Drosophila melanogaster: one gene and its partner. The protein of the gene in region 1 interacts with the protein of each later gene in a pairwise test. Each region holds a gene or a part of one and is shown in the gene's direction. Other genes may lie near its edges.

The links. Proteins that work in one complex are often made in the same cells at the same time.
Region 2: the proteins of MCPH1 (region 1) and CG13065 interact in a two-hybrid assay, tested with the Drosophila melanogaster proteins (one large-scale study listed by BioGRID).

What each region holds. Positions count from the first base shown.
Region 1 is NT_033778.4:11,899,390-11,907,294, reverse strand, and holds the start of MCPH1 (microcephalin), read left to right. Parts: upstream 1-3,376; 5' UTR 3,377-3,521; coding exon 3,522-3,714; intron 3,715-3,756; exon of another isoform or gene 3,757-3,831; coding exon of another isoform or gene 3,832-3,883; coding exon 3,884-4,130; intron 4,131-4,454; coding exon 4,455-4,676; intron 4,677-4,744; coding exon 4,745-4,937; intron 4,938-5,900; exon of another isoform or gene 5,901-6,307; coding exon of another isoform or gene 6,308-7,333; exon of another isoform or gene 7,334-7,778; intron 7,779-7,905. Other genes in the region: reb (rebuf), read left to right, coding at 848-955, 1,029-1,186, 1,249-1,900, 2,017-2,389, 2,451-2,455; Zip48C (Zinc/iron regulated transporter-related protein 48C), read right to left, coding at 6,308-7,333.
Region 2 is NT_037436.4:16,274,060-16,280,517, forward strand, and holds CG13065 (uncharacterized protein), read left to right. Parts: upstream 1-3,375; 5' UTR 3,376-3,427; coding exon 3,428-3,439; intron 3,440-3,508; coding exon 3,509-3,919; 3' UTR 3,920-4,121; downstream 4,122-6,458. Other genes in the region: CG13050 (uncharacterized protein), read right to left, coding at 4,599-5,021, 5,142-5,150; CG13064 (uncharacterized protein), read left to right, coding at 6,420-6,428.

The sequences.
Region 1 (7,905 bases):
AGCGCACAGACTGCAGTTCTGGGTAATTTGAAAAACATTTAAATTGGGGCACGAAAGGGATTGGGTTGTCGTGGAAAATGCAGGGCATGTAGTGCCCTTAATTCGATCACGCTTAGAAATGTCACATATTTTTGGATTGGGAATGGGAAGCTATGTTCCACAAGACCAAGACAGACTCACTTTCATTGCCACTGGCCGCGGGAATATGTGACACTCATTTATTGGTAAATCGCATTTGGCCCGCAATTAATGCCAATCACGTGGCTGACCGCCAATCCACCTGACAGTATGTGCCACTACTGGATTTTGTCACAAAACGCTGACGGCAGTGCGATGCATAAGCAAATCACACTGACTTTGAAGGAAAACCCCAAATGGCCAATTGAAATGCCAGGCCAGTTGGCCTGACCCGAACACAACAAACCAAAAAAAAAGCAATATCAACAACAACAACAATATAAATGCAAAAATGCGAGTAGTGTTCGACAAAGTGTTTAACACCAAACAATTGTCAAGGCATCGCCGTCGTTCAATTAGAGGCGGTGACATTGGTGATTCGATGGATCGACCCAAGGAGCGAGCTATCTAACAAAAAAAATCCAAGCCCAAAAACACCCATTGTTGCCATCCGTGCGCAGAGTTCATTGGCTTGCAGATTGATTGGACTGATTGCCTAATAATCTTTTCAGTGCGTGTCCCATTCGACGGGGATTTAATTTCGACTGCTAGCCAGATCCAATCAAAGTCATTCGCACCCGCAGGTTAATTGTCTCATAATTATTTATAATAATTTCGGAAAATGTTCTACCGTTGCAGAGGAAACGAATCAAGCGATCAGACCGACAAGATGATTTCTCGCCGCAAGATCATATCGCGCTCCCTAGACAATTTGGATGCCATCGGGCAGGAAGAGCAGGAGGAAGACGTCTGGCACGATCGCGAAAAGCTCTTCAGGGTGCGTTTCCTGTCCATTATAACTCATTTGATCTCTAGCTCATCCATTATCCATACCTATTGACACCACGCAGGATCACATCAACGAGGTTCTGTCCAAGTGGGAGCAAATCGACGACGAGATCTGGGCCAAGATAATTGTCTTCGAGAAAAATCGGCGAGTGGCCAAGGCCTACGCCCGCTCCTCTGTGATAACCATAAATGGATCTAAGAATGGATTCGATGGAGTGCGGTGAGTTTGAACTTAATATTTGACTATTAAGAACAACTTATTTAATATGGCTAAATCCACAGTATTGGGCTGAATGGCTTCGATAATCCGATGCGCGATGCGGAGACGAAGGTGATCAAAAAGTCCATCGGCGATGGATTCAAGATCAAAATGGACGACACCGGCAACATATTCATCAAGCGGTATGGCAAGAGCAGCATCTACGTGAACAGCACATCGCAGGGCAACGAGGAGACGGTGATCGGTGGCGACATAATCCAAATGCCGCAGATGTCCCTCACCGCGGCCACCTCCGCTCGACTCTTTGATATGAAGAAGTTCCAGACGAACATAAACCGCGAGTTTGCCCGCACTTATCCGGAGCGCGGAAGACTGGAACGGCAGTGCCTGTCCGCCGTATCGCTTGTCAAGTCGAACAACAATCTTATCAACTCTCCGGTCTGGATACTCGTGGTCAACGTGGTGGCCATGGACATGCTGAGGAGCCGCCTCCAAACGATTCCCAAGTCACTGGATGCGATGGGCATGCGAGTGCCGCTGACGAACAGCAGCGAGGATCCATACTCCACCATCGAAAGCCAAGTGGGATTGATCTATCCTACGCCCGCCGCGTCGGATGATTCCCAGAACTCCCAGCACTCGAGCAACTCCAGCAAGGGACGGCGCAGCATCTTTAGTGCCGCCTTCCTCAACGAGGGTCCATATGTGCCCAAGGTGGGTTCTAACCTAGATTACATTCTACCTGAAAAATTTGGGACTTCAAACCTTTTAACCTGTTTGGGAAAAAAAACTTAGCCTAATAATTCTTATTTGCTTTTTACACTTTGCAGCCCGACTACGAATCTGGCGGATCTTTGACGCCCATATATGCGGACAAGAAGCGACAGAAGAGCAGCGGGTCGCAGCAGCGGAAGAAGCAGGATGATCCGTACTACTGCGGACTCTTGGCGCGTATTCCCAACTTCATCAAGTCCTCGAAGCAGCCGTGCCCTGGAGGAGCCAGCAAGCCCAAGAAGGAGCCAAAGATCTCGCGGAAGATCTCGGCACAGCACCAGCAACAGCAGTTCCTGCAGCCGGCGCAACCCATTCCCATTGCCACATTCCACCACTCGTACTTCCCCTACAAACTGTATCCACCGCAGCACCGTCTCTCCCAGTCGCAAATGTCCCTCTGGGATGCACGTAGTCTGATCAGCGCACATGGTAAGTGACCACTTAATTTGTTAAGTGTATCTCAGTTAATCAGAACATTTCGCCATTTCAGAATGATCACTTTGGCTGGCCCTAATTTATTCATCGTCTAGCGTTAATTCTAAAATTATTTAGTCAAAGCCTACGATTAAGTTTGGTCAGTGAAGGATCATCGATTCACTGGATCACTGTGGAGTGCATTTCGCTCAGTTTTGTGATAAATGCAGCGAAATGCAGCCATTTAGCGTACGTCACTTAATACGCACTAACTCTAATTAACCGCAGTTAACTTTAAGTCAAGCAGAGAGATTTAATGATTATGCAATTTGTAATGAGTAATTAAAATTTTGCCATAGTTTCTTAAATCGTTTAAGACTGAGAGAATGTCCTAGAGCCCACGATAAGCGCACGGAGAGTTTGGCTGAGATTCAGGATGGGGGCAGATAATGTCATATGCAAATTAATTGCTACTTTAGGCAAGTTCAATTTATTATTTTCTTATTATTTTTCTGTACATACACTTCATATGTAAATAAGATCAAATTAAAAACATGTAATCGATATTAGTACGCATTAAAAAAGAGTTATGAAAGTCAATATAAGTGTTTTACTTTAAACGGGTTACAATCTACGCTGCTGAAACTGAATAATAAAGGTATTTTGTATAATTGTGTGTAGTTTGATTTTCATTTACGAGAACATTTAAACATATCTATATCTATATATATTTTCCGACATTTTTGCATTTACTAATTGTGTTTAAATATCGGAACTTAAAATTTATTAAACTGCTTTGCCTCTTTCTAAGATAAACATTGGTGGTGAAAAGTAAACCTGCGCTATCACAAGATTTTTTGTCTCCTAAATTAAATACATAATAAAATGCCGCCAAATTCGTCATCGAACTAAAATCTTAATGTACTAAACGGAGACCATATAAAAACAATCGATTTTCGGTGAGAACGATAACCGATTGCCAGTGAGTGATCTTGTAGCATTGAGGTTACCCGGTCACACTATCACATTGTGTTGCACTTTTTGTGAGGTTTGGATTAGAAAATTATTGGCGCCTCTTTTGCAGAGTTTTGCGACCGACTTCATTGCAATAAGGAGCGCCAGAGTGCGGAGAACATAGCCCGTGACCATGGACAAGTTTCTGTTGCGCAATCCCACGTGGAAGACGAAGACGTACGGATCGGTCGTGGCCAGTTCCGCCGCAGCTGCCAAGAAAACAGCGGCGTCATCGACCCGCCGACCGTTGCACGATTCAAATCTGGGCGACTTCAGGTCCAAAGCAGCGGCACCGTCTCCCAAATCTCTATCCCAGGCCCCGGCAGGTTGGCTGTGCATGCCTATTTTACATTTTGAACACCCAACCCAGTAGTTTTAGTTCCGGATACGTAGCTCACCCAAAATTCGTAGTATTCAAAAAAAAAAAAAAAAAACAGATTACCATGTCGACAAACGAACCGAGCATTACTAACAAGTTGCGTTCCCTCCTGCTAGATGACCAGGCGGCCAGGGATCGGCTGATGCTCAAGCCGGCATTAGCCGTCTCCAAAGCGATCAGCCAGCACCGCTCCGAGTTCCACCAGGACGAGAACGAGGCGGGAGCAGAAGGATCTGCAGCAAAACCAGATCCACCCATCGGAGCAGCCACGCCAACCAGGCAGGAAGGACACTGGGCCCGACTGCAGCAAGATCTCAACAGCCCCAACGCTGCACTCCGATTACGCGCCATTCGTGCATTAAAGTAAGGACAAAAATTGGTTATTGCAATTGTTATTTATACAACCTAAAGGTCAACTAGTGAAAACAGCTCAGATTCTTGACTAATCCATCCTTTTATAGCCATTTTATCGCTAATTTTGTAAAGTTAGATTCTTTAGATGCAATCCCTAATAATTCCATATCCATCAATAACTATTATATTAACAAGCCAGGTTTTTTTGCCAAAACCAAGTATTGATTATTATTATTATTAATTATTGTTTTGCAATGCAATCTAATCTGATTTGAGAAGAAACTGATCATAATAAAAAAAATGCATTCGCTTTTACATTGTATACATTTTTAGAAGCCCCACCAAGTCGGCATACAATACCTTCGATGTGCCTTTAGCCGAACAAAGCATCATCACGATGGAAGAACGCAATCCCCAGGAGCCGCCCTCCCTCCCCGAGTTGCTCAAGGACATAGTCGTATATGTGGAGGTGCGAACTGGAAACGACAATCGCTCTGAGGGCGTAAAATCAATTATTGCCAAGATGGGAGCCCAGGTCAAAGATCGCCTAACGCGGTAAGCTAAGGGATTACAATTGATTGACTAAAATATATTCAATTAAACATTTTTCGTTTGGCTTGTAGAACCACCACACACGTTGTCTTCAAGGATGGCCTGCTCTCCACCTATAAAAAGGCCACCGAGTGGAATATACCAGTCGTTTCCATTCTGTGGATTGAAGCTTGCAAGGTGCAGCTGAAAATATGCGATCCCAAGCAATTTCCAATCAGCAATATACGCATGTACGAGTATCCCGAGCTCTTTGGCAAAATGCCGGTAAGTTATTACTAATTGTGGCTTCTGTTGCATCATCGATCTTATTTATATATTCAAATGGGGATAAATGGGGCTTAAGAAGATAACTTTTAATTGTCACCATTCGGCTTTATAATTTAGCTTGCCTTCTCATAATACTAAGCTCACTGCAAAATACCCAATAACACATTGCAAAAATAGGCTTGTATGTACGTAGATATTAAAAGTTGACTTATCAAGGTCTTCATACAACTTTTAATATTCTTATCATATCATTATTTGTTAGGCCTAACAACTTCCCAAAAGCTTTATCAGATCTAAGACGACAATGTACTTTCGAGTTCATCAACTCTGCATTACATTTTGGTTGGAAATGGCAGCTTTAACTTACACTTCGATTACAAAAGAAATAGGTCTTTAATTAGTCTAATCGTTGACACTATCAATTTATGGCATTGCGGACACAGAAGCATTAACTCCACTTGAGATATGCCCCCAACTAATAGGCCATTCATACCGAGTTTATGGTTTTATGGCGCACATAAAGAACTATATGGAAATTGTACAACAGATAGCCGGCAAGAGGTCTTATCGACCACTTTTCCTGATGACCACGATCACAGTGGGTGGACTGTGGCCCAAAGCACTTGTGCGAGTACAAACATACATATCTGAAATGATTAGTTAATCCAGAAAATGGCGAACAGAAACGCAGGACCGCGGGCCGTCTGAAACTGCACGTATCTCAAACACGGAATACGCGCAATATTGGGAACTCTTCGTGTCGGACAGATTCTTATCACTTATCACTGGCTGACAGCGAGTCAACCAGCTGTTGTTGTTGTTGGCACTCCGGGTTATCTAAGTGAATTTACTTGCCCTTATCAGCTATCGTACGGCCAAAGAAACGGTCAGGAAGTTGTCCGGACGGAGACAGCTACATTTGTGAGGGAAAAAAGCGAGTGGGTGCAACTGAGAGATGTTCATTTGAATTCGTTTAGTTTATTACTTAGACATTAGACGGTTAAAAAAGACACAAGCTACTGGACGCCGGTGACAACTTAAAACCTAATTCACATGCACGTTTGTTTACAAATTTTCCTAGAACAGTTCATTTACATAACTCGCTGGGAATGCTGTACAGATACGTGTGCACAGATACACAATTGCACGGATGTCGTCGCGGCATCGCTGGTTGTCAAGCTTCTTTCTACAAAACTTACACTCTACGCTAGATTATTAGATTCTCGTTTAGGGCTGGTTCTGAGATTTGTACACAGCATGCTTCTATTTACAAGACAGCAGAGTTTTGCGTTAAGTACAGTGGAATCTTTGAGTTTAGCACTAGATTATGAAATCTGCGAGGCGGGCGAAGGCGAGCCGTTCGTTCCTCACGACAGCGCCACCTCCAGACACATCATGATCAGGAAGCCGGATACAGTGCCCCACGTGGCGATCGTTCCATTTCCGCTGGCATGAGCCTCCGGCAGAATGTCGTCCGACACAATGTATATCATGGCTCCGGCCGCAAAAGACAAGGCGTATGGCAGGATCAGGTTGGCAAAGGTCACCGCCACGGCGCCCAGAACTCCAAAAATGGGCTCCACCATTCCGGACAGCTGTCCGTACCACAGAGCCCGCTTCACGCTGAATCCTGCGGCATGCAGTGGCAAGCTGACAGCCAATCCCTCGGGGAAGTTTTGAATGCCAATGCCAATGGCCAAATTGCGGGCGCTCTCAAATGTCGATGAGTTCGTGGAGCCAATGGCACCAAAGCTTACGCCCACAGCCAGCCCTTCTGGAATGTTGTGGACCGTGATGGCCACGACCAAAAGCATAATCCTCTTCCACTGGGACAGGGCGTCCTCGGCGCGCTGCTGCTCCTCAGGCGTGGTGTAGGTGCACTGCTCCATCTCGTTGATGCTAGCTCCCTTCTTTCGGCGTCTCGATTCGCCGCTGTGCTGCACGCTAAGGCAGTCGGAGAAGCTGTCCAGACTCTTTGAGGCCAACCTATCGGGGGCAACTCCATTGCGCTTAGAGTCCTCGATGGCTATGTCCGCCTTGGCTTTTGATTGCGTCATCTGGATCATCATGTTGGTGCTGTTAAGGCCCAGGTATGACATCAATTTGTCGCATCCGTAGACGAAGATCGATCCCAAGAGGAAGCCTCCAGCGACGGGCAGAAAGGCGTATACTCCGTACAAATGGGAACTCTCGGCCATTTCGATGGCCGGCTTGAGGAGTGACCAAAAGGAGGCTGCTATCATTACGCCAGCTGCGAATCCCAGGGCGGCGTCCAGAGACCTCCGCTGGTTACCCCGGACGAAGATCACTAGGGCGGCGCCAGCGGCGGTCAGTCCCCAGGTAAGCAGGGTGCCCAGCAGAGCCTGCGTGACGGGTCCATAGCCTGGAATCATCTTGCACAGTTAGAGCTGCTTTTCCGTGCCCGTCACCGGCTGGTATGGAATTGTACTCCCGAGATTTATTCGCGTGTACACAGACAGGGCGAACAAGTTTTCTTAATTGTTGCGCAGCAATTGTTTACCCGCCCACAGTTGGAAATGTGCCACGTTCTTGGGCACTGATTGCTGGGTAAACAAAACAACTGAGAACCAATTTCAATGGAGTTTTAGATTCTGTGTATGTTTCAAGGGAATCTCTGGAACACTTGTTGCTGCTTATCGTATTGTTTTTGCGGAATGCTATTGCGTTTCGGGCGGCGGGGCAATTTCGGGGGGACGCGTAATACTGACGGGTTGATAAAAAGGTCTACTAGCTCTACTAGAGCGCGTCGGAAAGTGATGAATGAGCCGCTGACTGAGCTGACAGCCCCACAAAAAGCAATTTTTATAGGGCCGCTGGCTGTGTGCCACGGCAATCGATAGTAGTGTTATCGCTGGCGTCTATCGATAGACGGCGGCCGCTAGGGATGGCACTCGCAAGGCGCATTTATTCAAAATTCGTTACCGAACTCTGCTACTAAATCATT
Region 2 (6,458 bases), on another chromosome or scaffold:
GTTTACGCAGTTCGCACCCCCTTAGCCCTGATACCCCCCTGACCCTTCGAGGTCTATGTGGCCAGCTCGCGGCACATTGTTTATCACTTTGATTGCAAGTTGCGTGTGTGTTGGCTTAGAGGTCAATGCATTTCCATCGCCACTGCGAATATGGTACTACATTGAGGGGCGCCGCTTAAATTGCATTTTGCTAATCACCCGCCATCGATAAGTTGAACGAAGCCACGCCTCAAACGAACCCACCACGCCAACTCTGGCATTAATCATACGCCGCGTGCAACCGTCGAAAAGTATGAAAATCAAATCAAGCGAACGACATTTAACTAAGAAACAACATTTTGCAAATTAATTCAAGTCTTTGAGTTGCTGATTCTCAATTCTCCTCGATGCTTTCAACGCTTTTTATAGCCCTGTAAAAGCTGAAAAACGCCTCATTCTGCACGTGCAGTTGCACTTCTTGCAGCTAATTTACTTGTTTTGTGGCTGTAGTCGGAAAATTAAATTAAAATTTAACGCTGCCTTTTGTCTCGATGGTCACGCCCCATTAATCAGCTGCCCCCTCGCGAAACATGCGGCGATTTATAATTGCCGAAGCCCCAGAAGTTGCACTTAAACGTTCCGTTTCCCAGGCTTTACTGGAGTGGGTACTCTATGAAAGAGTTTGGGGGTGGGGTGTGTAAGCTTAAATTAACATAAGTTAAATATTGTCAAATAGTCTAATTTAATGCTTAAATGTTGTACTTTAGGTAAGTGTGTTTATAAAATTAGTTTCAAATGCTCTCTTGTCGTAGTATTCAGTTAAGGTAAGTCTATACCGTGTCTGAATTGAGGATATCAAAATATTTGTTTTCTAACTTTATAAGTAAGTATAAATATATATGGTTTTTGGATGCAACTCAGTTCTTAATGTATAGCTGTATCGTATCTCTATGTAATCTAGCTAATACTGGACGCTCTTTTCAAATTGAATATGATATCCAACCTACCTCCAATTAGCAGTACGCGTATTAACTTGGCCAACAAGGGGACTTCTAGGCCCATGTGCTATAATTACCCCCCGCTGTTCGGTGACTGCTTAGGCGATTACAACAATCTTGTCTAATTGACAGTTGTACACTGTCATTCGAGAGCATTGGAACGATAATGGGGGGGCTGCGTCGATTAGAACTTGCTGCGATCAATTTGCGGAGACATCAATAAGAAGCCAAACCCGATTTAAAGGCGCTCGCATTTCAGCCGTGCTGCCCAATAAATTGCGTTTTGATTTAATCGCCGTGTTGCACAAGTGCCACAAAATTAATTGCCAGCAATTTTTCGCACCGTGTAGATAGCAGCGCGGCTGCAACGACGCATTGAGCCGGATCTCAGGAGGCACTTAATTGAAATGCTTGGCTAGTTTGATTTACAGCCCAAAAGTGCAAATCGGGTGGAGAACTTCGGCTGGACTGGACTAACATCGCTATTGGAATCGCCCACACGGCGTATACGTATGTGTATGCAAATCCCCTTGGAGTTACGCATTGGAAGCCCGGCTGTTGACCTGCTCCCCCATTTCCCCCCTCCTTGGCCACCTTGTATTGTCAACTGCTTTTTGCCTTTCCATTTGCCCGCGGGCTTTTCTGGACTGAGCTAGGCCTTATCCTTAACCCTTTTGTTGTCAGTGGGTGTGAATTGGACCCCATTTGTTTTGTGCACCAACGCAGCATGTTGAACCTTTAAGTATTGAAGTGCTGGGATTCTTGGAATCAAAATCAGAAGCTTCGAAAGTTCGGAGTTTCCAGCCCCTTTACACCAACCATTTATTCATTAAAATGTACCATAATTATTAATTTTAACATCTGATTGTTTCGTCGCTTGTTTTTAATTCTATTAAAATAATTTATAATTATAGCCTTTGTGTTTTAATAAACTTAAACAAATTAGCAGGCAAGAAAAGTGTTTAACTAATATAATATTTAACAAAACATATCACATTGAGTAAAACTAACTTGCGCAGAAGGTGTTAAGTGCACGCATGCACTTTTGCTGCCTGCAGGGCGGTGATTTCAACAAGTGCTGGATTGGGTCTCCAATCCGACCCCCCTCCCATCAGCCCCCCTTTTCGGCCACGCCCCTTTCATAAGTGTTAAGTGTTTGGAGCTTGCGTAAAGCGCTGTCTGGAAAATGTGCTTCGAGTGGGTCGCCGGCAATTAAGTGGCAGCCGCAGTTCCTTCGGCATTGTTGTTGCAGTTGCATGAGTTATGGGTGCACTGGTTCATAAGTTGGCACCGCCAGTGGCGTCGTTTGGCCCAGGATTCCCTCCCGTTGCACTAGAAGAACGACCTTGCCCACGCCCCTGTCTACGATCGTTTATTGTTCTTGGCACACACTGCATTTGCCCCACATAGAACGATCTCGAGGCGGATCTGGATCTGGTTTTTGCTTCGGTTTTACGCACAGGTGTGTATCTGCCACGCCCCTTTCATTGCCGGCCTGTGTTGTAATTATTAAGACTTTGGCTCCGCGAATGCTCGAGCATTTACTGCGAAAATTTCTACAGCAAAATAGCCTCACGCATTTGAATGAATTTAAACGGCGGAATGGGCGAAACTTGTTGCCTGCATGGAAATAAATGCATACAAGAACCCAAAAAGGCAAGATACAAAATGCAATTTAAGTTTTTCTCACGCACACCTTGTCGCGGCTTCGGCATTAGGTAAATAGACCAAAAACAAATTTATCAGAAATTATTCAAAATAAAAACAAAAATGGTCGAAACGTTGATCGATTGGGGAAATACCCTTTGACTGGAGACAATTATGAATATTCAATATAAACAGCATAATACTTATAATAGATAATATATATTTAGATTGAAATTTCCATAAATATATTAAAAATATTAAGACAAAATAAGTTCTAATAGTGTAAATAGGTAAATATAAATATTTCATTATTGTGAACCGAATAACTCACAGAATAACTACTATCCTTGTAGAAGAATCAAAAATTTAATGAATAATTTATGTAATATTTCATTTGATGACTTTCCTAATTACGTATTAAAATCCTTATTATTCATTAGATAAAAACAATCTCTCATTTAGTTTACCACCGAAAGGGTATGGCCAAATCGCAGCCCAGGCCCACATCCGCGTTGTCTGGGGCGGGGCCAGGTGGTGCTCCGGTGGGTCCCAGGTCTCCATCGCCATCTCGATACTCGACAGGCCAGCTTTGCATGTGGCTCTCTTGGACTCGGTTTTGGGCTACGAATATGCCTATGTCTCTCGTTTGAACAAAAGTAAAAGTCTCTGGGCCGCCAGTTTGGATCCGTTCTCGTGCTGCATTTTGGCCAGGTCTGTGGGCTATAAAAGCATTTGTGCCTTAGACAGCGGCATTATTCAGCTTTGTGTTCTTGCCACGAGTTCAACTTGCAACCAAAACCAAAATGTTCAAATACGTAAGTGGAATTGATATACTCTGAAAAGTCCTTTGTTAGTATCTCATTTTTTTTTCCCCCATCAACTAGTTCGTTTTCGCCGTTTTCTGCCTGGCCAGCGCTGCTGCTGCTCCTGGCTATTTGGGCGGATTAGCTGCTCCGGCCTTGCCGCTGACTGCAGCTGCTCCGGCCATCTCCTATGGACACGCCTTGGCTGCTCCCTCGATTGCCTCTTACGGGCTGGCCCCCAGGCTTAGCTATGCCGCCCCGGCCTTGGCGCACGCTCCTCTGGCTGCTCCGGCCCTTTCCGCCTACGGATTGGGATATGGTCCCGGTCCCATTGGCCTGGCTCATGGTCCTTTGGGACTAGCTCACGCCCCTCTGGCCGCTCCCTTGGGATTGGGCTACAAGTCGGCATATCCTACTCTGGGTGCTCCTCTGGGACTGGGCTACAAGACAGCTCTTGCTGCTCCTGCCTATGGACTCGCTCATGGATGGTAAACGAGGTCCATACCACCCATCATCGTTTTCCGCATGCATTTCGTTTTGTTTGGATCGGTCAGAAATGAGATGTAAATACACAGAGAAAAAAGAGAGAGAGAGAAATCAGTGAAGGTTTTGTAAAGTGAAATCAAATTGTTAAAAAACAGATTGTGAAGAGTGGGTTTGATGTTGAAATATATTTCGATTGAATTTAAAAACTAAACTTAAAACTGTTTTATTTGATCAAGCGTTTGAGGCAATATGAAAAACGTGCTGACAATTTTCAAATATTCAGTTTCATTTTGTTTTTCAGATATTTATTTTCAGATTTCAGTATTTGGATGTTCCTTATAGCCAAAGTTTTGAAATCGTAAACGAATGTTATATATTTTGTTCAGAACATCAAAAGTGTGCTTTACTTACATTAAGTATCAAAATATATGTTTAGTATAGGCAATTAAGACAATTATAAATATGTCTCAAAGAACCGTGAGAAAAAAAGATCCAGTTTTAATAAACGGTTGACCATGATTCTAGTTTTTTGTACATTTTTTGCTTTGTCTTTATTGATTTATTGACTTGCTGAGTGACTGACTGAATAAGATTTGGGTACTGCGAAGTATATGACTTGATTGAAAACTCTCACACGCTCGTCCCGGCTCCATTTGGCTTAACTTTACTTGACTTGGGAGTACCTCTACCAACCGTGGCCATAGCCATATCCCAGTCCGTATCCCAGACCCAGACCCAGACCCAGACCGTGTCCTCCGTACAGTCCATGGCCGTAGCCTCCGAGATATCCGTGACCGAGGCCATAGCCATAGCCGCCCAAGTAGCTTTTGCCGATGATCGTCTTGGAGATGATGGGTGCATGGTAGCCCAATCCCAGACCAAGACCTCCATAGTGCCCGCCATAGCCGTGCCCGTAGAGTCCTCCGTAGTGCCCGATTCCTAGACCCAATCCCAGGCCATATCCACCGTAGCCATGACCAATTCCGATTCCAATGCTGGGTGATGGAGATGGAGCAGGAGCTGGAGACGGAGATGGTTCTGGAGCGGGTTCAGGAGCAGGAGCTGCCAGGATGGAGGTCGTCAAGCAGGCGATTGTAATGAGTAGCAGCTTTCAATGAAGAAAAGACAAATGTTATTTATATGATTTAAGTAAAAAAAATTGCTTATATTTTCTAAAGTATTTTTTATTAATAATTGTATTATCCTTTTATATCCTGGTACCACTTACTCCTTTCATCTTGCTGTAGGTAATTTTCCGGCTGCTTCTGTGGCGGCTTAACCAATTGTGTTGCTGCAGTTGATCCCAGCAGGCCTCTTTTATACCAAACCCCAGTTCAGTGGATTGCATCCCCACATGGACATCGGTGATCTAATGAGCAGTGCCACAAAGTAAATCTAATTCGCCTGACAAGTTGCCCAAGTTAGCGGCATGCCACAAAACCATCCGTAGCTGCTGTAAATAAAAAGAAAATCCAACACCTGTTTTTTTTTGCCTTTTGGGCCAGCATTGTATAATCTGCAATCGAGTTTGGCATTTACCAGTCCACAATGGTTCCAGTTCCAGTTTTTAATTTGGCCTGTGGGCATTTTAAATCTGGTGGGTGGCCTTTTCCTTCGTTTCCTTCATGTGATTCCGGTTGGATCTGATCAAGAACTAAGATCTGAACTTCGGGTCAATGGTCTGTTTATTTTTATTCAGTATAGAAAAGAAGAGAACTATATAAGTAAAAGTATAGACTCCTCCAAAAAAACGCTATATATTCGTAGGTTTAATTTAAATATATTTCAAAATCTATTTTTCACGAATCTATAACACAAGTATATATTAAGCAAAATTTGTATGTGTCAGACTGGCCACAAAAGCAACTTCGTTGTAGGGAGTGTGCTAGTATTAAAACTAAAACAACGTTTATAACCGCTTTAGCATAAAGAGCTCGAACAGCCGCTGAATAAAGTCAAACTAATCAATTCTTAACACCTCCAAAGCCACATAAAATAGCTCGAAAAACACAAGATTGGGCAATGATTAAAATTGAAAAGAGACATCAAATGGGTAAACAAAGGCAAATCCGCAGACGTGTGACCAACTAACTCATACTTCCCAAGAAAAAAAAAACAAACAAACAAAAAGCCGAGAAATGTAAGACAACAAAAGCAACCAACCAACCCAATGTGCCATAATTAAGTGCACAAAAGAGTCACTGACTCTTTGATAATCTTCGGCGTTGACGCTTTAAACTTGAACTTGAAAACGGGTTTCTTTTCGAAGAGAAGGGGACCAGAGGCCAAGTGGAGTAGTGCTCCCACTACATGGATGTTGCAACAGGTTCCTGGTAGCAAGGGAAATGCAGTTGCTGATCTCAGGGGATTGTCAACCGGTTTACCCCTCCTAACTGTTTAAAAGCGCTATGAAAATCCAGCGATGAAGACGAGCCTATAAATTGATTGGCCTTCGGCTGCATTCAGCTTAGTCCAAGTGCAGTTCTGACCACAATATCACCAGAGAATGTTCAAGGTAAACAGGATAGATACTCAGTACTCCTTT